3 linked regions of the Elephas maximus indicus genome follow. The protein of the gene in region 1 purifies or fractionates together with the protein of each later gene. This does not show direct contact. Links are inferred from orthologs where the notes say so. Each region holds a gene or a part of one and is shown in the gene's direction. Other genes may lie near its edges.

What was found.
Region 2: the proteins of ZNF219 (region 1) and CDK2AP1 purify together in Homo sapiens (affinity purification with mass spectrometry; 3 studies listed by BioGRID and IntAct, counting the BioPlex papers as one, with this or other methods). This does not show direct contact. The link is inferred for Elephas maximus indicus from reciprocal best matches to the Homo sapiens genes ZNF219 and CDK2AP1.
Region 3: the proteins of ZNF219 (region 1) and CHD3 purify together in Homo sapiens (affinity purification with mass spectrometry; 3 studies listed by BioGRID and IntAct, counting the BioPlex papers as one, with this or other methods). This does not show direct contact. The link is inferred for Elephas maximus indicus from reciprocal best matches to the Homo sapiens genes ZNF219 and CHD3.

The regions. Positions count from the first base shown.
Region 1 is NC_064828.1:31,442,048-31,448,878, reverse strand, and holds the start of ZNF219 (zinc finger protein 219), read left to right. Parts: upstream 1-3,812; 5' UTR 3,813-4,003; intron 4,004-4,433; exon of another isoform or gene 4,434-4,492; intron 4,493-4,951; exon of another isoform or gene 4,952-5,427; intron 5,428-6,753; exon of another isoform or gene 6,754-6,831. Other genes in the region: TMEM253 (transmembrane protein 253), read right to left, coding at 227-373, 492-602, 900-956, 1,042-1,152, 1,537-1,644. UniProt on the Homo sapiens protein: Transcriptional regulator. Recognizes and binds 2 copies of the core DNA sequence motif 5'-GGGGG-3'. Binds to the HMGN1 promoter and may repress HMGN1 expression. Regulates SNCA expression in primary cortical neurons.
Region 2 is NC_064840.1:6,984,448-6,991,615, forward strand, and holds the start of CDK2AP1 (cyclin-dependent kinase 2-associated protein 1), read left to right. Parts: upstream 1-4,157; 5' UTR 4,158-4,174; coding exon 4,175-4,283; intron 4,284-7,168. UniProt on the Homo sapiens protein: Inhibitor of cyclin-dependent kinase CDK2. Also acts as a component of the histone deacetylase NuRD complex which participates in the remodeling of chromatin.
Region 3 is NC_064837.1:12,893,075-12,900,650, reverse strand, and holds the start of CHD3 (chromodomain-helicase-DNA-binding protein 3), read left to right. Parts: upstream 1-4,565; 5' UTR 4,566-4,580; coding exon 4,581-4,851; intron 4,852-4,930; exon of another isoform or gene 4,931-5,056; intron 5,057-7,576.

The DNA.
Region 1 (6,831 bases):
CTAATGTTCCTCCCCCGTTCTAGTCCCAACTAAATTCTCTCTTACCCACTATTAGGGGAGAAATGTCCAGAGCCAGAAAGCCAGTCAGTTTCAATCTAGGACCCGTTGATGTTCCTCCTGCCTCTTTGTTTTCCCTTAAGTACTACTGATTGGATAGACAGTGAGAAAGTGAGCTGGTAGCCCCTCCTGTGCATCCTGTGCTTGCCTCCCTGCTGGCTCCCCGTACCTCCTGCAGCTCCTCATAGTGCAGACTCTGGCTCCTGCAGCATCCTGGCTTCCTCTGGCTCAACAGGAATAGGGCATATGCTGAGACCAGCACTCCCCCTAGGGTGAAGGCCTCAGCGCTGAGCTCCAGCACCAGCAAGCCGGCTAGCTGCAGCAGATAGATAGGGCTGAGGATATTGCAGGGGACCCAGCACATGTTTGCCCCTACCCTCTTCCCTCTCCATCTCCTCTTGCCTCATCCTCCCACCTTCTTCATTCAACCATACCTGGGAGGGGGCAGTTGGGGCAGGTGCCAAGGCTGTCTTCATCACCTCCACCACCACCACAATGAAGGCCAAGATCAGGTTGAAGATATTCAATATCATCATGGCCCGCACCTGCCAGTGAGCCAGCTCAGCCCTGTGTAGCCCAGGGGACTCACTCCAACCCCAAGTCCCACCTGCAGTCAGCTGAAATCAAAACTCTGTTCCTGCATCTCCACCACCAAATAAGGCTGTCAGCCCTTTAACTTTCTTGCTGTCTCTCCTCAGGCCTTTATGTCAGTCAGGGACAGCACAGCCTACAGGATTAGTCAACACTTACAGAGCCACTTACTTCCTGGGCTCAGGGGTATGTGTGTGGTGTGTTTGTGTGGGGGAAAAGGGAGACAGTACTGCGTTCTCTTCCCCTCTCACCTTCCAGAGGCGAGGTGCTCTGCGCAGCTCAAGGGTGACAGTCCCAGAGAGGAGACCCTGAATGGTGAGAAGGGCAAGGGTTGAGCTCTGGCCCTATTAAGGAGCCCCTGTTTCTTCCATGCTCCCTTGAGGTGGGTCTCACCGAGGCTGCAGGCCCAAGGGGCAGCGCTGTGGCCATGTGACAAGCAGAGTTCAAGCAGGCGACAGAGACAGCAAAGGGCACCACAGCCATTGCCAGCCAGAGCTGGCTCACCTGGGGGCCAGGGGCACGGTAGTTGAGGGGGAGCCTTCAGGGATTCCCCTCTCTCCTCACAACCTCTGCCTCTTCCAGAGATTAGGAATTGGGATGAATGGATGGTTGGAGAGGGTATTCAACCAAGGGATTGAAGGAAGGGGGTATCACTTAATTTTTCTGCCTCATGTCATAGTTACTTACCTATATATTTTCCCCACATGATGGAAGCTGTTTGGAGATTAAGGATCTTGCCTGTTTTATCTCTGTGTTTCCTCCTCCCTCCTCCCACTCAGAGCCTAGCAAATCTTCTGGCATATGGTAGGGTCTTACTGAACATGGGTGGAATTGAACTGGGATACAGGTGGGCATATGGGAGCCTGGGGTGGGGCAGCCTGGCCTCACCGCCAGCACCAAGATGTGCCCACTCTGCTTGTGCCTCGCCCAGTGCCGTAGCTTTTCCAGATGAATGCTGGATCTCTCCCACTTTTGCTGACCCGCTCTCTCCTCCATGGCTCCTTTGACTACTGGAACTGGGTGCTTCCTAGGCTGGGAAAAATGAGTTATGGGGCCTGTCTATCAGGAGGCAGGACACTCAGCAATGTCTCCTTCAGCTGCCCCCCTACCTGCTTTCAGTATCCAGGGGGTTCAGGCCCGGGGCCTCACACCTACCTAGTATGAAGTAGCTTCTCTGAAGGGATGGGACCCAGCAGGGGCCTGAGGCTCCCGCAGGGGCCTGAGGCTCCCAGAGGGGCCTGGTAGCTCAGAGCATACGACACACTTGCTCTGGCAAGACAGGTTGTCAGGGCTGGGGTGTGGTGGGGCAAAGGTCCCTATGAGGGCCAAAGGATCCAGGGAGTGGCCCTGGTTGGTGCCAGCCTCAGTTCATTCCACAAAATACCCATCCCTGCCTCTTGCTCTTTCCATTTTCTGTTGCCCCCACCTCCCCCCACCCTGGGTTCCTCTTCTGATCGCTAGCCTCATCCTGATGGACACCATCACCCTGGGCCCTAATTTCCCCCCATTTCTATCCTTCCTCCTCAAATTACTTGCTCTTCTCTAGGGAAATCCCACATTACTGTCTGGATTGGTCCCTGTCATTACCACTTGCAGCTTTGTCCCCAGACCAGGTAAGATTTAAATCTCTGGCCTCCTGCCTCTCACTTTCGGGACTGCTTCTCCACCTTCCCATTTCGAAGGATTTGCTCTGCATCAGAAACCAACTAAGTGGATGGAGAAACCTGTTTATGGCTGTGATTGTTTCTGGCTCAGTGATAACTTGCATCTAGAGATGTATAGAGGATGGACCCAAAATGGTTAGTCTTGGGAAAGACACTATTGCAGTAATTAGTATTTTTGAGAGCTAGAAGGTGCCTTGCAAAGAGACAGATCTGAACTAGAATCCAGCTCTGCTAGTATGCCTGCTATGTGACCTTGGATAAATTATTATCCAAGAATTATTATTCTACCTATTTAAACCTTTCACAGATAAAAGGGGACTAATAATATGTGTGAAGAGTTGTTTACTAAGGGCTGGTGCTTAATAACTGTTAGTGGTACTGATGAGGTCATCCTGATGAGCCTGATGCCCGTATACTAAAGGGCTTATTCAGAAGTTGAGATGGAGCCATTTATTTCTACAGAAAGGAGCAGAGCCAAAAAAAAAAAAAAAAAAAAAAAAAAACCCAACCCAAACTCATTGCCATCGAGTCAATTCTGAGTCATAGTGACCTTATAGCTGGGCCCAAATATACACTCTATAGATCAAAGATAGGAAAGGCTGTCTTGGTCTGCAGGCAACCAGTCCTATGTTCAAATACCAGATCTACGTGGGTGTCCTTGGGCAAGTTACTTCATCTCTCTGTTTCCTTGTTTATTAAGGGCAGTTAATACCAATCTCAAAGAGTTGTCTTGAGTATTAAAAGAGAAAATTCATATGAACCAGCTCAGCCCAGCACCTGGCATGTAAGAGCTTAATAATGTTAGTAGCTATTATCATCATCATTATTTCTTATTATTGATAGTAGAAGAAAACTGAGCCAGAATACCTCTGGGAGTTACTACTGGGAGGCGAGTGGCCTTCTTTGTAAGCCACTTCTGCCCTGCTCAGTGCCGGGCCAAGCCTCACTGGAACATTGTACCCACTCTTTCCTTTTCTGGGGAGTGGGAATTCCATTTTAAAAGGATCCAGAAAACTGCTGTGTCTACGTCTTCCTCCTCGATTTTCATGGGCATTAATTTTATTTGGTGGCGATGGCCTGCCAGAATGTGAGACATTCGTCTTGCTCTGAGGATTCCTGGGCTTGCAGACCAGTGACTGGCTGGGGAAAGAGACTCCTTGAGCCTCATTTTCCTTACATTTAAATGGCGACTAGTTATATTTCAGAGGGTTATTGTAAGGATTATATGCTATTAACTATGTGAAGAGGCACTCAATAAATATCGATTAAATCTGAGTATGCTATTTATAAGATCGTAGCCCCTGTCTGGACTACAAGCTCCTGGAGGAAGGAGACCACAATGCCCCTTATCTGTGCATCCCCCACAGCGCTGAGCATAGTGCCTGGTACTTAGTAAGAACTCAGTAAATATTTGTTGTATTGAAGAGCCATTAAAGTGACTTAAGGAATGGAAAATAGAACTCAAGAGGAAGGAGCTGGAATTGTTTATCAAGAACAGAAAGGACCGAAGAGTAACTTTAATAATGTTTCTTATACGGCAGACATTAACTATCTCTCTAATCGCCCCTCCTCCTCCCCCAAAAGAGAGACAGAAAATATAAGGGAGAGGCTTTGAGATAAAACCCCAGGAAGAACTTCCCGAGTCTGTGCATGTTGGGGCAGAAAGAGCGGCAGAGCCAACTCCTTGCCTGGTATGTCCGGGTTTAGGGTGGGAGGGGCAGTCCAGCTTGGAGGCTGGGGGAAGGACGAGATGACCTTTCAAAATCTCTTCCACTCTCCTGTTCCAATCGTCTGTGCGCCCCACCCCCGCTCCCTCCCTTCCTCTCTCCGACAGCGCCCCCCATCCCCAAACTGCCCGCACCCCGCCCCTGGCGGCCGCCTCTCGCGGCTCCCGGGGTCCCCAGCTCCCGCTCCCGCTCCCGCGCGGCTCCCAGCCCCGCCGCGCCGCCCCCCGCATGCTAATGGCCGGGCCGCCTCCCGCCGCACACAATGCGGGCCAGGGCCGGGGGCGGGGGACCGGGGAGGGGGCGGGGGCCGGGCCGGGGGCGGGGGGGCCGGGGCCCGGCGCATCTCCCCCGGCCCCACGTAACGCTGACGCCCGCGCCGCCGGCCCGCCGCCCGCCGCCGCCGCCGCCGCCGCCGCCGCCGCCGCCCGCTCCACCGCCGCCCGCCCGGGGCTCGTGAGTAGCCGCTCCCCCCACTCCTGGCCCCCCCCAGCCATCCAGCCCCCGCCCCCGGCCCCCTCCCCCCCACCCGGAGGGGGGGGCCGCTCTGCGCGCCCGGCTCGGAGCAGGTGCAGGGGGCGGGGGCGGGGGAGGGGCGCCGGCTCGGCCCCAAGCAAACTTCGCCCAGAGCTCCTGGGGGGGCGCGGTGGGGGCGGCTGCCTCAGAAGCCTGAAGACCTGGGGGTGGGGGGCCCCAGGGAGGTGGGGGCCAGGTGGGGGAGCTGGGAGAGCGGACACCGAAGGGGAAGGGCCAGCAGAAGGGAGGGGGGTGGGCGCCTTTGTAGGGGCCGGGAGGGAGGGCGCGAGGGGCCTGGGGGCGCTGGGCAGCTGATCCGGGAGGCAGAGTGGATGAGGGTCCCCCGGCCCAGGTAGGGCTGGTGGGGGAGGGGGGAGGCCCAAACTCTCCAGGAGCAGGGGTTGGGGGAGGGGAGAGGATGAGGAGTGCTTCCCTCTCTGCGTCCCAAACAAAGTGTCACAAAGAGCTCGGCCCGCGGCAGCAGCGGAGGCGGCTGTAACTCAGCTTTTGTTCTCCCGGCCAGGGGTAGCTGAGCCCTGGCCTCCTAATACCCCAACCCTGCCCCCCGTCATCCTTCTGGCTTATCCTCCCCGGGAATGGTCTGGGGTGCTGCTGGAAGAACCCCTTGTGCCCGGATCACAGGTCCTACCGTACTTGCCAACCTCCTTCTGGGAGGGGGATTTTCCCAGTCTCTCCTGCTTACCCCCAGTCATAGGTGCCAAGACTGTGACCTCGCTAGGGTTAGCTTCAGTTAAGGGGACTTAGGGCTGGCTACATGCCCCTTCCCTTAAATCCAAGTTCTCTAGAACTTTCAGAAGAGGGGTCAAGTTGGGACATGCCTCTGGGATAGGATTCACCATGGTGGGTGGCAGCAGGTGAGCAGGTGTACCTTCCTCTTTTCCTCCTTCTGTACGTTTGCAGTCTGTGATAGATCCCCTGCCTCCAACTCAAGACAGTGAGGATGGGGGAAGGAGGCTTCACCAAGAATCAGTGTGAAGGGTGGGCAAGTTGTGGGGTGGGTTGGGTTTGGAGAAACTATCTGAGCAGTGAGGTTCAGAGGGCAATGGAGAACATAAATAAAACTGATAAAACTGAACTATTGGCATGTCTGTGTGATGAAGGTGGTCTTGACTCTAGACCACCTAAGAAGCCCCATTCCCTTATAACCCCATCTATTGCAGTCTTAAGTCATCATTGTTCCTAAAGCTGACTTGGGAGGTGGGATTCTCTACAGAGGGAAAGCATCAAGCATTAGAGATGATCAGAAACAGGCCAGAAACAACTAGGCCCCTGAAGTCCTGAACCCTCACCCCTTACACTCTGACCCTGAAACCATTTGAGCCACATATCTTGAAGGACAATTTCATCCTCCAGTTAGCAGATGCTTCTATGTATTTGTCCCTGCTGTTTCTGAGAGTCTTCTCACCAACCCTTCCATTCTTCCCTACTCAGTAAGGTTTGATGGTCCACACCCCACCGCCTCCCTTACCAGATTGCCTAGCACATAAAAATTTGTAAACTGGCCTTTTGTTTTGGAAAGATTTCTGATCCCTATCCCTGGCCCTGCATTCCTATAGAACCCAAATAAGGGCAAGATAACCCCTAATTCTGGGTGGGGTGGAAAGTAGGTCAGTGCTCTGTCTGGTGAATTCTTGTGGATGGTGTTTAAGGCCTGACCAGGAGAATCTGTGACAGTTGCCCACAGACAATACACGCATGACCTAGGTTCCAGGCCATTTCAAAGAATCCCAGGCCCTGTCAGTGCTTTCTCCTATAGAGAAAAACCCATGGAATCTGGCACCGGGGAACAGGTGCGGAAATGATCCAGGAGATCTTGACTGGGCCTATGAGGGCCTTTTAGTGGGTTCTGTTAGTTTTAGGTCACCATCTGGGGAAACTTTCCCTGCTGAGGAATAATTCAGCTTCATTTTGGGCGTTCCTGTATATCACTATATTTTCACCCTGGAAACTGTTCATAGCCAGTTTTTTGTTTTTGTTTTGTTTTTGACTGGGGAGGGGGGGAGCTTTGCCCTGTTCTTACTCTTCTAGCCTTTGATGAAAGGCCAGCTTCCCATAAGGTATTTTGCATGCTATCTTACCGGCAGTTTTAGGGGCCCAAGAATCTTCTCGGAATCAGAGTATGTGCCCATAGGTTAGTCAGCTATGACCATGCAGTATTCCCAGCCTCACTACCCCCCCCACCCCCCCAACTGCCATCTGCTTCTTCTGAATATACCAGATTGGCTGTACACCAGGATGTTCCGGGAATCCCCAGGAGA
Region 2 (7,168 bases), on another chromosome or scaffold:
ACCTTGAAAACATGCTGGGTGAAAGCCATTCACAAAAGGCCACATATTATATGATTCCATTGGTATGAAATATCTAGAATGGGCAAACCCATGGAGACAAAGTAGATCAATGATTGCATAGGGCTGGGGGAAGGGAGGATCAGGAGTGACTGCTAACCAATGCAGAGTTTCTTTTTGGGGTGATGAGAATGAAAGGGGCAATGGTTGCCCAATTGTGAATATACTAAAAAACACTGGACTGTACACTTCCAAATGGTGAATTTCATGCTATGTGGATTATATCAATTAAAAAAAAAAAAGGAAAAATATTTGTTGAATTATGGCCAGGATCTAAAGTGAGGGACTATGCATTGTGGTCAAAATACAACAACAACTCAAGTGAATACCCCAGAGTTTTGTAGAAGGTACAGGGCAGGCTGCTGAGAGCTGCTTTCTTGCCCTCAAGGAAACAGAGGCCAAGTCAAACAGCTAAAAGGTGGTACGGCCAGCACTAGTACCCACGTCTCTCTGCCTTGTGAGCCCTCTGCTTGTAGCTTCTAGCCCTGCTCTGTCCAACATGGAGGCACAAACCATTGTAGCTACTGAGCGCTGGAAACAAGGCTAGCCTGAATTAAGATGTGCTGTAAGTGTAAAATTTTGTAGACTAAGTACAATTAAAAAAAAAAAAATCTTAATTATTTCCTTATATTGATTACATGTTGAAATCACACTATTTTGGATATTGGGTTACATAAAATATGTCGTTAAAAAATAATTTCCCCAGGTTTGTACTTTCTAAAACATGACTACCACAAAATTTAAAATTATATATGTGGCTGGCATAATATTTCTGTGGGACAGTAGCGTGTACTCTGGAGTACTGGTCCCTGGGGACAGTACAGAAGGGGGTGACTGTAAGTTATTCATGGAATAAAATTTCACTTAGCAACCTTTGGTGGGCTAGCCTACAGCTGATCACAGGATGCTTTTTTTTTTTTTTATGTATTACTATAACATACCTAAACCAAACCCACTGCCATCGAGTCAATTCCAACTCATGTCAACCCTACAGGACAGAGTGGAACTGCCCCATAGGGTTTCCAAGGAGCAGCTGGTGGATTTGAACTGCCAACCTTCTGGTTAGCAGCTGAGCTCTTAACCACTGTGCCGCCAGGGCTCCATAACATAACATACCTAGGCAATCCTTTATTGTTGGATACTTACGTAGCTTTCTTTTTTCTTCTTTGAACATGTTGTCAGGGACAGCCTCATCAGTTAGGAATTGCACTCAGGTAAAAACCTGGTTACAGTGGCTTAAACACATAGGGTTATTCTCTTCTGTAAAGGAACTCCAGATGTGGGCAGCTCTATGAAGTCTCTACTTTTCTACTCCACCATCTTTAGCGCATGTCTTCCATCCTCAGGGTTATAAGATGGCTGCTAGAGTTCCAAATGTTATGACAGAATTTCCACGCAAGAAGCAGAAGTAACGCCAAATTGATTGTTTCAAATGTTACTAAATAGATTGGGTGCCATTTGTTAATAGCCAAACACAAAGTTTAGTAAAACCTTTCTAATTATTCGTTGGTTCTATTTAAAAAAACCATCTCTACAGGCGAGGCGGTTCTGACTCATAGCAACCCTATAGGACAGAGTAGAGCCACCCCCACAGGGTATCCAAGGAGTAGCTGGTGCATTCGAACTGCCGACCTGACCTTTTGGTTTGCAGCTGAGCTCTTAATCACTGTACCACAGGGCTCCAGTTCTGTCTTACCAAACCAAAAAAACAGACCCACTGCTGTTCAATGTCCAGCCTGGACATGGCGACCCCACTTGTCTTGCCAGTGGGTTCTAAAAAAAATCCACTTTGTGATAGACCAAATTTTACCCTCGACGTATAAGCAGTAAGTAGTATCTCGGCACCAACAACATGTAAACCACCAACAGTCAATCCCAATGGGAAAAAGAAGACATACCACTTCCATTGCTTATGGCAGCATTCAATAGGGTGTACAGAAGATAATCAAAAAGTGGGTTGAGTTGAATTGATGTCACTCCAGATGAAGGAAAATCTAATTTATGTCCAGAAAGGAATAATAATCAGTTGCCATTGAGTCAATTCCAACTCATGGTGCCCCTCGTATGTCAGAGTAGAACTGTTACACTTAGGATTTTCAATGGCAGATTTTTCAGAAGTAGACCGTAAAGCCTTTCTTCTGAGGCGCGTCTGGGTAGACTCAAAGCTCCAGCCTTTTGGTTAGCAGCCTATGGCAGTAACTGTTTGCACCAGCCCCTCGGGACTCCAGAAAAGGAATGAAGCAGGCACCATTCTGTTGCCCTATTTCTAGATGGCCTTCCATGATTTCCACTATGAAATAGGTGCTGTCTTGACCTCTACTCCCCACTAGGATGTGTGCTCCATGGACTAGTTGGGTTTGGTTACTGTGACGTTTTCCAAGAGTACTCCTTGGGTGCTGGTTTCGGGGCAAGGGTGTCACCTGCACCATTAGTCGTAGAGGGAGGGAAGAAGGGAAAGACTGGGTGGGTATCCCTTCTTTCTTCGGTGGAGAGGTCACTGAGATCCAGCAATGACGTCTAAATGTGAGTTACTAAACCAGCAAACCAAGGCAAGAAAAAAAGTGCGCCTCCTGTTTATTTTGGAAAGCTTTACTATGTAGCCAAAATCCAAGAAATAGCCCCCCCCAAAGGTGATTCATCAAATCCGAAATGCATTTTATGATTATGTCTCTGATCAGAGAATGGGCTTGGGTGGGGTCGGAGGAGGGTGGAAATTTGTGAGTAGAAACTTCGCCAAGGTCATTCTTGGCTCCCTAGTGCCTAGGAAGGTGCCTGCCATAGAGCTGGTGCTGCTTAAATATTTGGATGCGTTAGTATTCAAAATTAGGTGGATGCCAGGGTGAACTGTCCCGAGGAGAAGGCCTTTGGCGTTTGTCAGAGCCTTAAGGAGTCATAGGCCCCCACAAAAAGGTTAAAAACCACCTAATACACAGACAAGAAGTTTATTTAAAATCAGTGTCAAGAACTGGTTATTCTCATCATGGGTAAGAGCCAGCACTCGGTATCTGGAAAGATCTCCGTGCTTAAAAGCCCCAGTCGCCACCATTTTCTCCAGGTAATTTTCCATCCCTGCCCCCACAGCCAAAAAAAAAAAAGGGGGGGGGGGAGAAGTCATTCTTAAATTCTACCTAGCTATTAAAAAAAAAAAAAATTAAGCGGTAGATTAACGTCCTCCCCTCCCCGCGTCGCCGGAAACGAAGGCAGAAGAAAGGGGCCTCGCGCGACCGGCCGCCCCCAGCCCCCCGCCCCCCAAACTTTGCCAAGTTGCGGCGCCGGGCGCCGGGCGCGCGCGGAGGCGCGGGGCGCGGCCGGCGGGCGGAGCCCTGACGCCGGGGGCGCGGGCGCTGGGCCGCCCCCTCCCGGCCCGGGCCACCGCCGGCTCCGCACAAAGTTTGCGGCCGCCCCTGCGCCCGCCGATGTATGGGTGATCGACTGCGGCGGGCGGCAGGGTGAGGGACGGCCATATTTGCCGGTGCGCCCGCGCGTCCACAACAAAAAGTGCGCGGGAGCCCGGCGGGCGGACGGACGGGCGCACGGCCCCGCCGCGGAGCCGCCTCGCCGCCCCCGGCCCGCCGCCCCGGCGCGGCCCCCGTGGGGGGATGTCGTACAAGCCGAACTTGAACGCGCACATGCCCGCCGCCGCCCTCAACGCGGGTGAGTGAGCGCCCGGTCGCGCGCCGCGCCAAGTGCCGCCAAGTTGGGCCCCGCGCGCCCGGCCGGCCAGGGGCTCCCGGGGGCCTCGCGGCGTGGCCGGGGCGCCGGGCACCGGGTCCGGCCCGTGGCAGAGCCGCCGCCGCCGCCGCCATGATTCCGGCGCCGCGCGCCAAACTTCGCCGCGTGCCTCGTTCCCCCCGGGCCTGCTCGTGGCCGGGCCGGGGGTCGGGGCGCTGGCAGCCGCGGAGCCCCCACGCCGCGGCCGGGGGATCCGGGGACGGAGCGTGCGGGCCGGGAGGGAGGGAGGCTTTTCTTGCTCCTTTTTCCTCCGGCGGCTTTTGGGCGGCTCGGCGAGGGCCCCTGCCGGCGGGAGGCGGCAGCGCGCGGGCGCCGCGGGGCGCGGGCGCCTGGGGCGCGGGGCAGGCCCGTGGGGGGCGCCAGGCTGCGGGGCTTCACCCGGGCAATGCTGGGCCCAGGCGGGAACGCCGGGTTTGCCAGGCTGCGGCCGCCCCTGGGGGCGCGGGGCCGGGTAGACGGGCCCGGAGGCACTGGCCTGGCCGGGGACTTAAAGGGTAAAGGGGGTCCGGCCTGGCGCGCGGAAACGGGGGGCGCCCAGAACGGGACTTGCGGGAGACCACCTCTTGCGCGCGCAGAGTCAAAGTAGTTGGGGAAGACCCGCGGCTTCTGGGTGTCTTGGGCGGTGGGTGAGGGCGGCATTTCAGGGGCCCAGATCTCGGAGCCCCTAAGTCTGTCATGGAAGGCCCCCCTTCTGCAGAAATCGGGAGGTACGCATCTCCCCTCCCTGGAGGGCAGGGGGTCTCGGAAACTCTTCCAGAAGTTATCAGGCAACCTTCCTTAGGCTGTGCCCAGGGGGTGGGGTACCTGGGAGACCGAGGGCGCCGTCGGGGAGGGGAGGTAAAATTGTTGGGGTTGTGGGGTGATTGGCTTTGTCTCCTCACCAGGGACCTTTAGACACTTGATTGGAAGCATGCGTCCAAAAAAGCGGGGCGCCTTGGTTGGGGGAGAGGGCCAAGGGCCTTGCCCTGGGGTGGGGGGGGAGGGTTGGCTCTGCTCGCCAATATGCCAAGCTGGCAGCTTGCCCCGAGTTTCCGGCCTGGCCTCCAGACGTTGACTCCATAACTACAAAAATTCTAAAGGGACCTATAAGATTTAAAGAAAACAAAAAAACTTCTTGGACACTGAGGTTTTGGGGTTGGGAAAGGGTTAAGATTAAGGTTGCAGATTGGGGTGATCTGAATTGCTCAGATGTGGGCTGTGAGCCGCCGAGAGCAAACAGCCCCCGTTTTCTCACATGCCCTCACCTCCCGTGGGTCCGCAGGCCTTCCTGAGACAGGCTTTGTTGCCTAGGTAGGATGTCTTCTGCTTCCATCTCTCTGGGGGTGGGCAGGGCGGAGGGTGGTGCCAGCCTGGACAGGCGGGAATTCTCAGGCTGCCCTGGTGTAGTTGAGGCAGGGGCCCCACACTGGGGTCCTGAGGGATTGGGGTCACTGAGGGTAACAGGGACACCCACTGAGGACCCCTGCAGCCCTGTTCGGGACTAGCTGGCACCTGTAAACAGTCTTTCTTCTATCTCCTATGGTGCATTCCAAGAGGAGTGCTGTCCCCAAATCGCTGTTTTCTTTTGGGGGGCCTACATGCCCCCTGCGGACCCCTTTGCAAAAAGCCCTGTCTCCCCATTTGCATCCAAGATGGACTCTCCGCGCCCCTCCTCCCGGCTTCCCTGTCATCATCCCTCACGCCCTGCAGCCCAGCCTCCTGCTCGTGGGTGGGTTGCCAAGCCGTGGCCTGGCCGGCGGTGGCGGAGTTAGACAAAGCCCCCACGTCCCCGCTGGAGAGGCCCCCCCTCCCCGGGGCGCCCCGAGAGGCGGGAAGGCCGCCAGCTCCCCAGGCCCGGGCCGGCTCTTTGTCTGGCGTGGGGGCGGGGAGCTCCGGCCCCAGGAGCTTCCTGGCCTCCTGCTCCTGCACACTGGCTCATTGTCTGATGCTCCTCCGCGGAGGGAGACGCTGCGCTGACGTGGAGTCTGCTTCTCTTGGTGGCCTCCCTCCGCCGACCCAATGGCCCTCCCTGTGTCTGCGGGAAGGAGTGGCCAGGAGAGGAACTCGGGGGCCCTTTCTCCAACTCTTTCCAGGGCCAGAGACACCCCCTCCAGCACTGAAGAAGGGACTGACAGTGGCATAGGATGGGGGTCACACACTATGCTGCTGGGGTGACAGGACAGTCAAGCCCTGAGCTACTGCCTGACTGCCCCACTCCCACCAAAATGGGGCAGTTTCTCACTCCTACTCCCTTTCCCCTTGGCCCCCAAGACCTGACTCCAGTGCCATCAAACAGCAGGGTCTAGAGCCTTTAGTTGTTCTACTGGAAACCATTGCCTCAAATAGCTGGGGAAACTGAGGCCCAGAGAGGGAAGGATGTTGTCTAAGGTCACACAGCCAGGAGTGGCCCTTGCCCATAGGAGAGAAGACAGGGCAGGGGGAGAAAAGACAAGGAGGTGGGGTGGAGCAGAGGCCACAGGGAGGTTCCGGATCTCCTCCTGCCTGGAGCTAGTGTCTTCTAGAGGCCTTGAAGAGTTGGGCCACTCACTCTCCCCAGGTTAGCACTTAGCATCCATACCTTCCTGAGCCCAGGGAGGGACCATAACTTGTGTGGGGCAGGATTAGAACTCAGGTCTGGGTGCACAAAGCCTGTGTTTCCCAAGCCATACTCACCACCCCCTGCCTTCCAGTCCCCTGGAAGGCTCAGGAAGTTGGGGCTTAGCTGATGTGGTGGGGGGGGCGGGGCTGGAGGGGGCACTGGCCCTGTCCCAGGCTGGGCTCTGGCCACTGAACACCTGCCCTTGCCTTGGAGTGCTTCCCTGATGTGAGTAGCACTTACAGGTGTGTTGTCATCCCTACCTTGTAGACAGGGAAACTGAGGCTCCAAGCAGCCCAATAATTGGCCCTTGACCAGCTTGGGGGTGGCACAGTCGGGATTCAAATCACGTTTCTGGGTGGCCTCCCAAGCTTCAGCATAAACATGGGACTGAGTAGGGGCAGCTGGGCAGGCCTGGGACCTGAGAGGGTATCAAGTGCAGAGCTGCTCCAGACTCCTGGACAGGAAGGTGGGCATCAGTGGAGCTTCTGTGCTGCGTCACCGGGGCGGTCTCTGGCCCAGATCTGTGTCTCCCTCCCTCTACCGTGAGGGTCCCTGATCCAGGGTTCCCAGGGGCCCCTTCCCGCTCCCTGTGCCTGAGCTCCTGAAGTTACTTCCGCCCGGCCCCTCCCCTTGCCCATCCCAGTCGAGCAGCTGGTCGCTTTGGCCGGCCTTGGCACCAGCTGTCCATCCCGGGGCCAGGTCTGTGAGGCTGCTGTGTGTGTGAGAGGGACCGTTTGGCTCTAGGGGTGGCGGGAGGGGAGCTGCTCCCCATGGGGCGTGGAGTCAGGCAGGCGGGCGGCT
Region 3 (7,576 bases), on another chromosome or scaffold:
GCAGTTGAAAAAGCAGAAATGAAACAACAGTGCATTGTGTGTAGCAGTTTTATCATTATTTCTCTGGAAGAGATCTGGATAGAGACTGTGTCTTTGTTTGCCCCAAAGAGTTGTAAAATCTCTAAGGTGGGATTTAAGAGGAGCCAAAAGGAAGGGTGAAAAAGGAGACAAGTTGTAGTAAGCAGCAAAAGTTTTTAAACTAGGAGGAAGACAAACTTCTTCCGCAGGCCTACGTCAACAACCTAAAAGGATCTAGATTCATATGCCTTTAAAGAATTCATATAGACTAAGCGGGAAAAGAAGGATAGGCCTCTGTCTACCCTATGTATGTGTGATAGATCAGCTTAGAAACTATCTGTACTTACTAACTATAGCTATGTCTGACAGCGCTCTCACATTTTTTCTCAATTAATACATACCTCAATGATGAAGAGACCAACAAGGGTGTAAGACAACTGTCTAAGAGGAATAGACTAGATTAGGAGAGAACAAGCCCTTCCTAAGTTCTTCTCAGATACTGGTATTAAAAGCATGAAACCAGCAACTAAAAATCAAAACCAAACCCACTGCCACAGAGATAATTCCAACTCATGGTGACCCCCACATGTTATAGAGTAGAAACTGCTCCATAGGATTTTCTTGGCTGTAGCCTTTATGGCAGCAGATTGCCAAGCCTTTCTTCTGTGGCACTGCTGGGTGGATCTGAACCACCAACCTTTAGGTTAATAGTTGAGTATAAACCATTTGCACTAGAAACTAGAATTCTACTAAAGTAGAATAAAAAAAGACAAGAGGCAAGAGATGGCAGTCCCCCTAAAGTAGGAAGGGATACTGACTGACAGAGGAATAAGCATGCCACTAAACTGGGAGGAGTACAGTGAAAAGCAAGTAAACTTGTGTGTTTGTGTGTATATTTTTCACTGGAAAAATGTCCATGAGATGTGAAATAGTGGCTGCCTCTGGGGAGAGGAACTGGAGGACTGAGGGAAAGGGATAGATGGGAGTCTTACTTTTCACAGTAAAGCTTTTATACTTTAAAAATTTTGTACCATGTGTATATACTACCTATTCAAACACTGACTAGAAAAACAAAGAAGAAAAAAGAAAAGCAAGCAGGATGTGGACAGCAAGAGCCAGCCAGGCAAAGGGTAAAAGGCAGGAAGACAGTGAAGATCCTAGGAGAATGGTGAAAAGACTGAGGCAGGCAGGCTAACTGCCTGGGTAGCCAAAAAGACAGACAGAAAGAGACAACTGAGAATGAAGGCAGGTGCTGAGAGAAGGCACGGTAGTGTACATGGCAAGAACACAGATAAAGAGTTTGGGGCCAGGGAGGAGAGACCATTACCATTGGTGGGGTGTTGGCATAGAGGGAACCAAGAGAGAAACAGCTGGTTAAGTGGAAAGTCTAAAAGACACAGGTATTAAACAGTGGGATACTAGCAGGCAAGTAGACAGACATAAAAGGGAGGTAAGGAAAAATCATGAACATAGCAAGTATAAATAAAAGAAGTGAATAGACAAAAAAGTAAGATAAGAGGCAAATGGAGATAGGGAACCATGGCAGGGCCTGGAAGGTAGATAAACCAAAAGAAGCAGGCTAAAAAAGTGATAGAGACAGGGAAGTGAGGAGACAGATGGCTAGAGAGAGTGTGGTGGGCAAACAGCCAGAGAAGCAGACAGACAACCAGAGAGAGAGAAAGAGGCTGCCAGCCAGTCAGGGAGGAGCAGACAGGCAGGCAGGCACCATGATAGGAGCAAGCAGGTAGAGAAGCAGATGGAAACCAGGATAGAAGAAGAAAAATCAAGAGGTCAATAGGAAGCAAGAACAGGAGAGAATACAGACTTGCAGAGCGGGGGAAGGACAGGGGAGAGAGAATCAGGCAAATTAACAGATCTGTATACAATGCCCACTCAAGGGACAGCAGGACTAATGTTTGTACAGAGATGCACACAGCCACCCAAAACCCATCTTTAGTCACCCACACCTGCAGATCATGGCACATGTGGCAAGCAGGCAGAGACACTCACCAAGGAGGGAGAGGGTCACAGAGCCAGAAAGGCTGCGATGCACATGATGCGCAGCGTGGCCCACACACACACGTGGAGACGTTCTTCCCAGACACAGTATGATCCACAGACTATCCATGAGGTAGGGCAGAAAGAGGAGAAAGCCAGGCACACGTGAGGAAGAGGCATACAAAGAGACCAGAAAACAGAAGGAAACAGAAGACAGAGATGGAAAGTCACTTAGAGGTGACAGAGCCTGAGAGTCCAAGGGATGAGAAACGGTCTTAGTGAAAAATAAAGACGTACATACAGAGAAGCCCATATACAGAAAGAGAGGGAAACCCAGATAGACTAGAACAGAGACTGAGAGAGAGGACAGAAGAACAAAATCTGGTAGAAGAATAGGAATTGGACTCAGTACAGGAATGATATGAAAGAAGCAAGAGAATTCCAAAGCTCATATTAAGAAAGGGATAGCAACTAATGCTCAATAAAGTGTGTTGGGGGTGGAACAAAGAATATTTTAGCCTCTTAAAAATTTGTGTATTATTCTCCATCACTAATACCTTCTGGTTGCTGCCTACCCGTCCCTCCCTCTTAGGTTGCTCCTGAGCACTGCAGAGGCTGAAGGGCTAGCAGCTCTACTTAACAGGTAGAAAAATAATCCAGAGAGAAATGATTCCACAGGCTTGGGGTGGAAGCAAGGAGCTAAGTGAAATCAAAAGGATGGGAGAAAACAAGAGTAAGAAAAAAGTGACAAGAATGAATAAGGGAAGAACTGAGCTATTTACCCTCCTTCTTTGCTAGCACTGCTTGTTGGTAGAAAAGGTACAAGTGTTCCACCTCCAACTGGCAAGTCTTGTTTTTTGTGTAGACCTTTCTGGTCAAGTCCCTGGAGGAGGACGCTACTTTTGGATTCCTTTCCAACCTTCCATCTGATTACTGGAACCATTTTATGATAAACACTGGAGTACAGGTGGAAATCATATGTTAGAAAGTCAGATGAAAACACCTGAATGTGACCCCCTACCTCTTTCTCTCAGTCCCAGTTACTTTTCTCTTTCACAGCACCTCAGTTTCATCCACTTTGTCAGTGTTGGAGATCGTGGAGGAAGGAAATGTACTGAAATGGGAGAAAAGAGAAAATAATTTCACAATCGTCAGACTTGACTCTTTCCCCTTTATTCTAAAAATCTGTTCTATTTACCCCAAATTAATTTCCTAAGTCAGATGAATTTTATATTCAATTAATGGCAGGGAGGGGGGAAAGGGGAAAAGAGTGAAGATAAAATTTACAGCAATTATAAATCACCGAAAAGGCTGGGCGAAAGGGAGAATCAAACATGGACTCCTTTGAAAAAAAACTCAATCATCATATCTATTCATATCTCTCTCCCAAAAGTCACTAGAATTTCTATCACTTTTTTTAAAGAAAGAAAAAAATTCAGTACCACTTCTCGCTTAAAAGATACGTACACGATTAAATGCATTCTGACTTCAATGAGGTATGCAGAAACAGATTTATATATAAACATATATTTCATCTTTTCCTTTTCAATGCCTGAAGGGGAAAAAAACCCTTCACATCAAACCACTCCCTTCTGAAGTATTCAGAAAAAAAAAAAAAAAAGCTTTTCTTTAGAGAAGGGAGGTGGGGAGGAAGAGACTAGTAAAGAAAAGAAAAAAAAATTAAATCTGGTTGGACTAGTATTTAACTAGTTAACCTTTAACAATTTATGCTGATGTCAGACTGAGCATGACTACTGATTAATGCCCCCCCTCAAATATTTTTTATAAGGGGTGAGTTAGTCACAGCAGCCATTTTTGTTTTATGCAGAAATCCTTCATGCCCCCCCAAAACACACACACACACACACATACACACAGTTCAGTACACAAGGAAAATATCTCTATTAATCTGTGCACTAATCAGTTATGAAAAAAGGGAGAAATTTCTGGGTTTCTGGGTAAAAGCTTGGAGATGGGGGTGTAACAGGGAGGAGAATGGGGGGGTGAAAAATGAAATATTAAGCCAGCCATTTTGTTTTAAAAGGGGATTTTTCCCCCTCTCCCTTTCTTCATGGAGGGGGTGGCGGTCCTGGAGGGGGGGTTGTTTTAAAAATAATTTCAAGGCGGCCATCTTAGTGCCTCAGCTCTGAGAAATATTTCTGAGCGCCCCCCTCAGAATTTAAATATATTTAAGGCAACGGAGAGGGGGGTAGAGAGAAGTCGAAAACTTTTATATATATATATATATATATAATTTTTTTTAATCCCCCTTTCTTGTTCTCTTGGGAGGAGAGAGGCAAAAAAGTCTCTCCTCTCCTGAAAATTTTCCAAGAAAATTTTTGGGGTGGTTTGGCCCCCCTCCTCAGACGGCGGCCCCGAGGGTGGGGGTTTTAGAGGGGGGTGGCCCGGGGGTTTTGGGGGCTGGGGGAGGCGGTGAGGAGGAGGACGCCGCCGCCGAGGAGGAGGAGGAGGAGGAGGAGGAGGAGGAGGTGGTGGTGGTGGTAGCGGTGGGGGAGGCGGGCGGGCGGTGGGTGGGGGGGTGGTGGGGGGGCCAGAGCCACAGGATGGCTTCCCCTCTGAGGGACGAAGAGGAGGAGGAGGAGGAGATGGTGGTGTCGGAGGAGGAAGAAGAGGAAGAAGAAGAGGGCGACGAGGAGGAGGAGGAGGTGGAGGCGGCCGACGAGGACGATGAGGAGTACGACGACGAGAGAGTACTCGGGCGCGGGCCGGACCACGACCGGGGCCGCGACCGCCACAACCCCCCCGGCTGCCACCTCTTCCCGCCGCCGCCGCCACCGCCGCCGCTGCCCCCGCCGCCGCCGCCCCCGCCTCCAGGTAAGCGGCCGCTTCGACCTCCCCCAGCCCCCAGCGGGAGCCGCGGGCGCGAGAGGCCGAGCGGGGGCGAGACACCCACCGCGCGGCCGAGGCGAGGTGAATCCGGGGCGCGGGGCGCCGTCTCGGGCCGATCGCCCCGCGGCGGTCCGACCGGGCGATCCGGGCGGCGGCGGGGCCAGGCCTCCTCCCCTCCCCCGCCGCACCCCTCCCCCGTCGCCGCCGCCGCCGCTGCCGCCGTCGCCCGGGCTGGAGAGCGCTGGGAGCGAGCTGCGCGCGCGGACCGGGCCACTTGGTCGCGGCTTTCGGGGGAGGAGGAGGAGGAGATTTTTTTTTTACCCTCGGCGGGGAGGGGGTAGGCAGGAAACGGCCGAGGCGAAGCCAGGGCCCCCTCCCTGGCCGAGCGAGGGACCGCGGAGACCCTGGCGGCCGGACGGCGGCGTGGGGGGGAGGGGCGCGTGGGGGAGGGGCGGCCGCGCGGGCGCCCCTCGGGCTTCGGCCCCGGTGGGGCTGGACTGAGGGAAAACTGGGTTTTCGCGAGTGGTGTTCTTAAGTCTCCCTCCCCTGAGGAGTTGGGAAGGCAGGGGGGATAATGGCGCCCATTGGACCCCCCCCCGAGTTGCGGAGACTTTTGTGTCCGCTTAGGGGCGTGCAGTGGCACGTGGGGAGGGGTCGTGGGCTATTCGTGGGCGGCTGAGGACTAGGGGCAGGTGGTGGCCACACTCCAAGCAGAACACTTCCCGGAATCAGACTTGATCCTTCCCCCCCTCCCCGCAACTTGTACTGGGGGGGCGGCGCCACTGAAGACTGGGGAGCGAGAACAGAGTGCAGGGGGAAACCGAAGTCCTCCCCCCAACTCCTCCCCCTTTGTCACTCCCCTGCCCTGGGCTCTTTTGTGTCAAGTGCGCCCCCCCATGACCCAGTCAGTCTGGGGTGGCCGAGCTGCCCAGCTGTGACTCTCACGTGGCTGCCGTTCCCTGTCACTCACTCTTCAGCTCAAACCGCCCGCACCCAGACCACGTTGGGGGGCGTGAACTGCCCACTCAGCTGTTCTGCAGCTTGACCATCACTCAGAACCTCTCCCTCGGGCTGACGAGTCACCCGGCACTTCTGGGTTGCTCCACCAGCCGTGGAGGGGACACACCGCTGCCTCGCTTCGGGCGCCCCGCCGGTGGGCCCACAAAGACCATCTTCTAGTTGGTTTATTTCTAGTCTTTTTATAGGATAGGTGAGCGAGGGCAGTGCTCACACTGCCTGCTTGGGAATTGAAAGGGGGGACATCCACACCCCCAGACCTCTGGGTGCCATGCAGCACAAATGCACCCAACTTCAAATTTTCTAACATCATTCTCTTCGTAAAACTGCCGTATTGATCTTTGTGCCATATGTGGCAAACTTTTCTGTCTTGCTGAGGCAACCTTTGAAGGAGGGAGTGTGGGGAGCTTTCTAAATTTGGGGGGGGGGTTGTGTCTAAGGGGAAAGAAAATAGTCTTTTTTTTTTTTTTTGCCTAGGCTTGTCTGAAAAAAGGAAAAGTTTTTTTTTTTTTAATGTTATTCTAGAGCCCCCACTGATTTTGCATGAGGGAAAGGAATAAAGAATTGGGGTAGGGGTTGCTTGGAAAACAGCAGAGGTGCTAAATAAAGGGAAAGAAAGGATGACAGGTTTAGTTAAGAAATTGGCAACTCTCACCTACTTGTATTCTGAATTTGGGTTGTGGTATTTGGGAGGTTTTGAACTCGGATATGGGTACGTGAGAGAGAGGAGCAGGAAGAATCTTAGGTTGAGGTGGGTCTTTGTGTCGATATTCCCTCCCCCTCTCCCTCTTTGCTTTCTGAATAGATATGTCAAATGCTTTTAAATTTTTATTTGAAATGAAAACCCGCCTCCCCTCTCTCCCAGGGCAATTTTATCTCCCTTTCAGCCCTCCAAGTCAAATGAGTGACCCAGATACACCCCCTCAGATGACTTTCTGAGGTAAAACTTTGAGAAAATATTTTTAGTCTGCTAATTATTTCTGTTTAAGTGTGGGGAAAATAATCCTCCTCTCAGGAAATTTGTTCAAGTTGTCCTCCCTCACCCTTTTCTAGAATATGAATTTTAGATATTAGAGGCTTGTATTGTTTTTCATTCTGACCGCTTTGGTTCTCACCATTTTGTTTTACATTCTTACCCAAGACCGATTTTATCCCTTCCCCCTCTTCTCCAGTCTCCTTACATTGTTAAACGTTTAAAATAATAGCACTCGTGTTGATGGGGGAAGGGAGCAGGAAGCCAAAAACTCGTTTCTTCTCCCTCCCCCTTCTGGTAAGTCTGGAGAAATAATATAACATAATATATAGATGTGATTCCTCGGAGGTGGGGGTGGGGAATGATTGTGGGTGGTGCGGAAAATTCTGGTAGTTTCTTTGCAAAAGGCCTGAAAATACAAACCCACCCCCTGCATGCAATACGCATGTGCAACAGACCTATTATGGTGGTTCGTTGTGGGGGAGGGAGGGGAATTTGAGAAAAAATAAATATATGTGTGAGAGATTGATGGTAGATTAGAAGAAGAGGGGGCGGGCGGGAGGCGAGGCTTTCCCAGAGACTCCGCCTCCTTTCTCTGACTGCCAGGCTCCGCCCCCCGCTCCTCGCCCGCCCCCCTCCCGCCCCGTCTTCCCCAGATCCGAGCCGGAGATGTGGGAGAGTCTGGGCTCCAGGCCAGCATTGAGTGGCTGGTGAGACAGA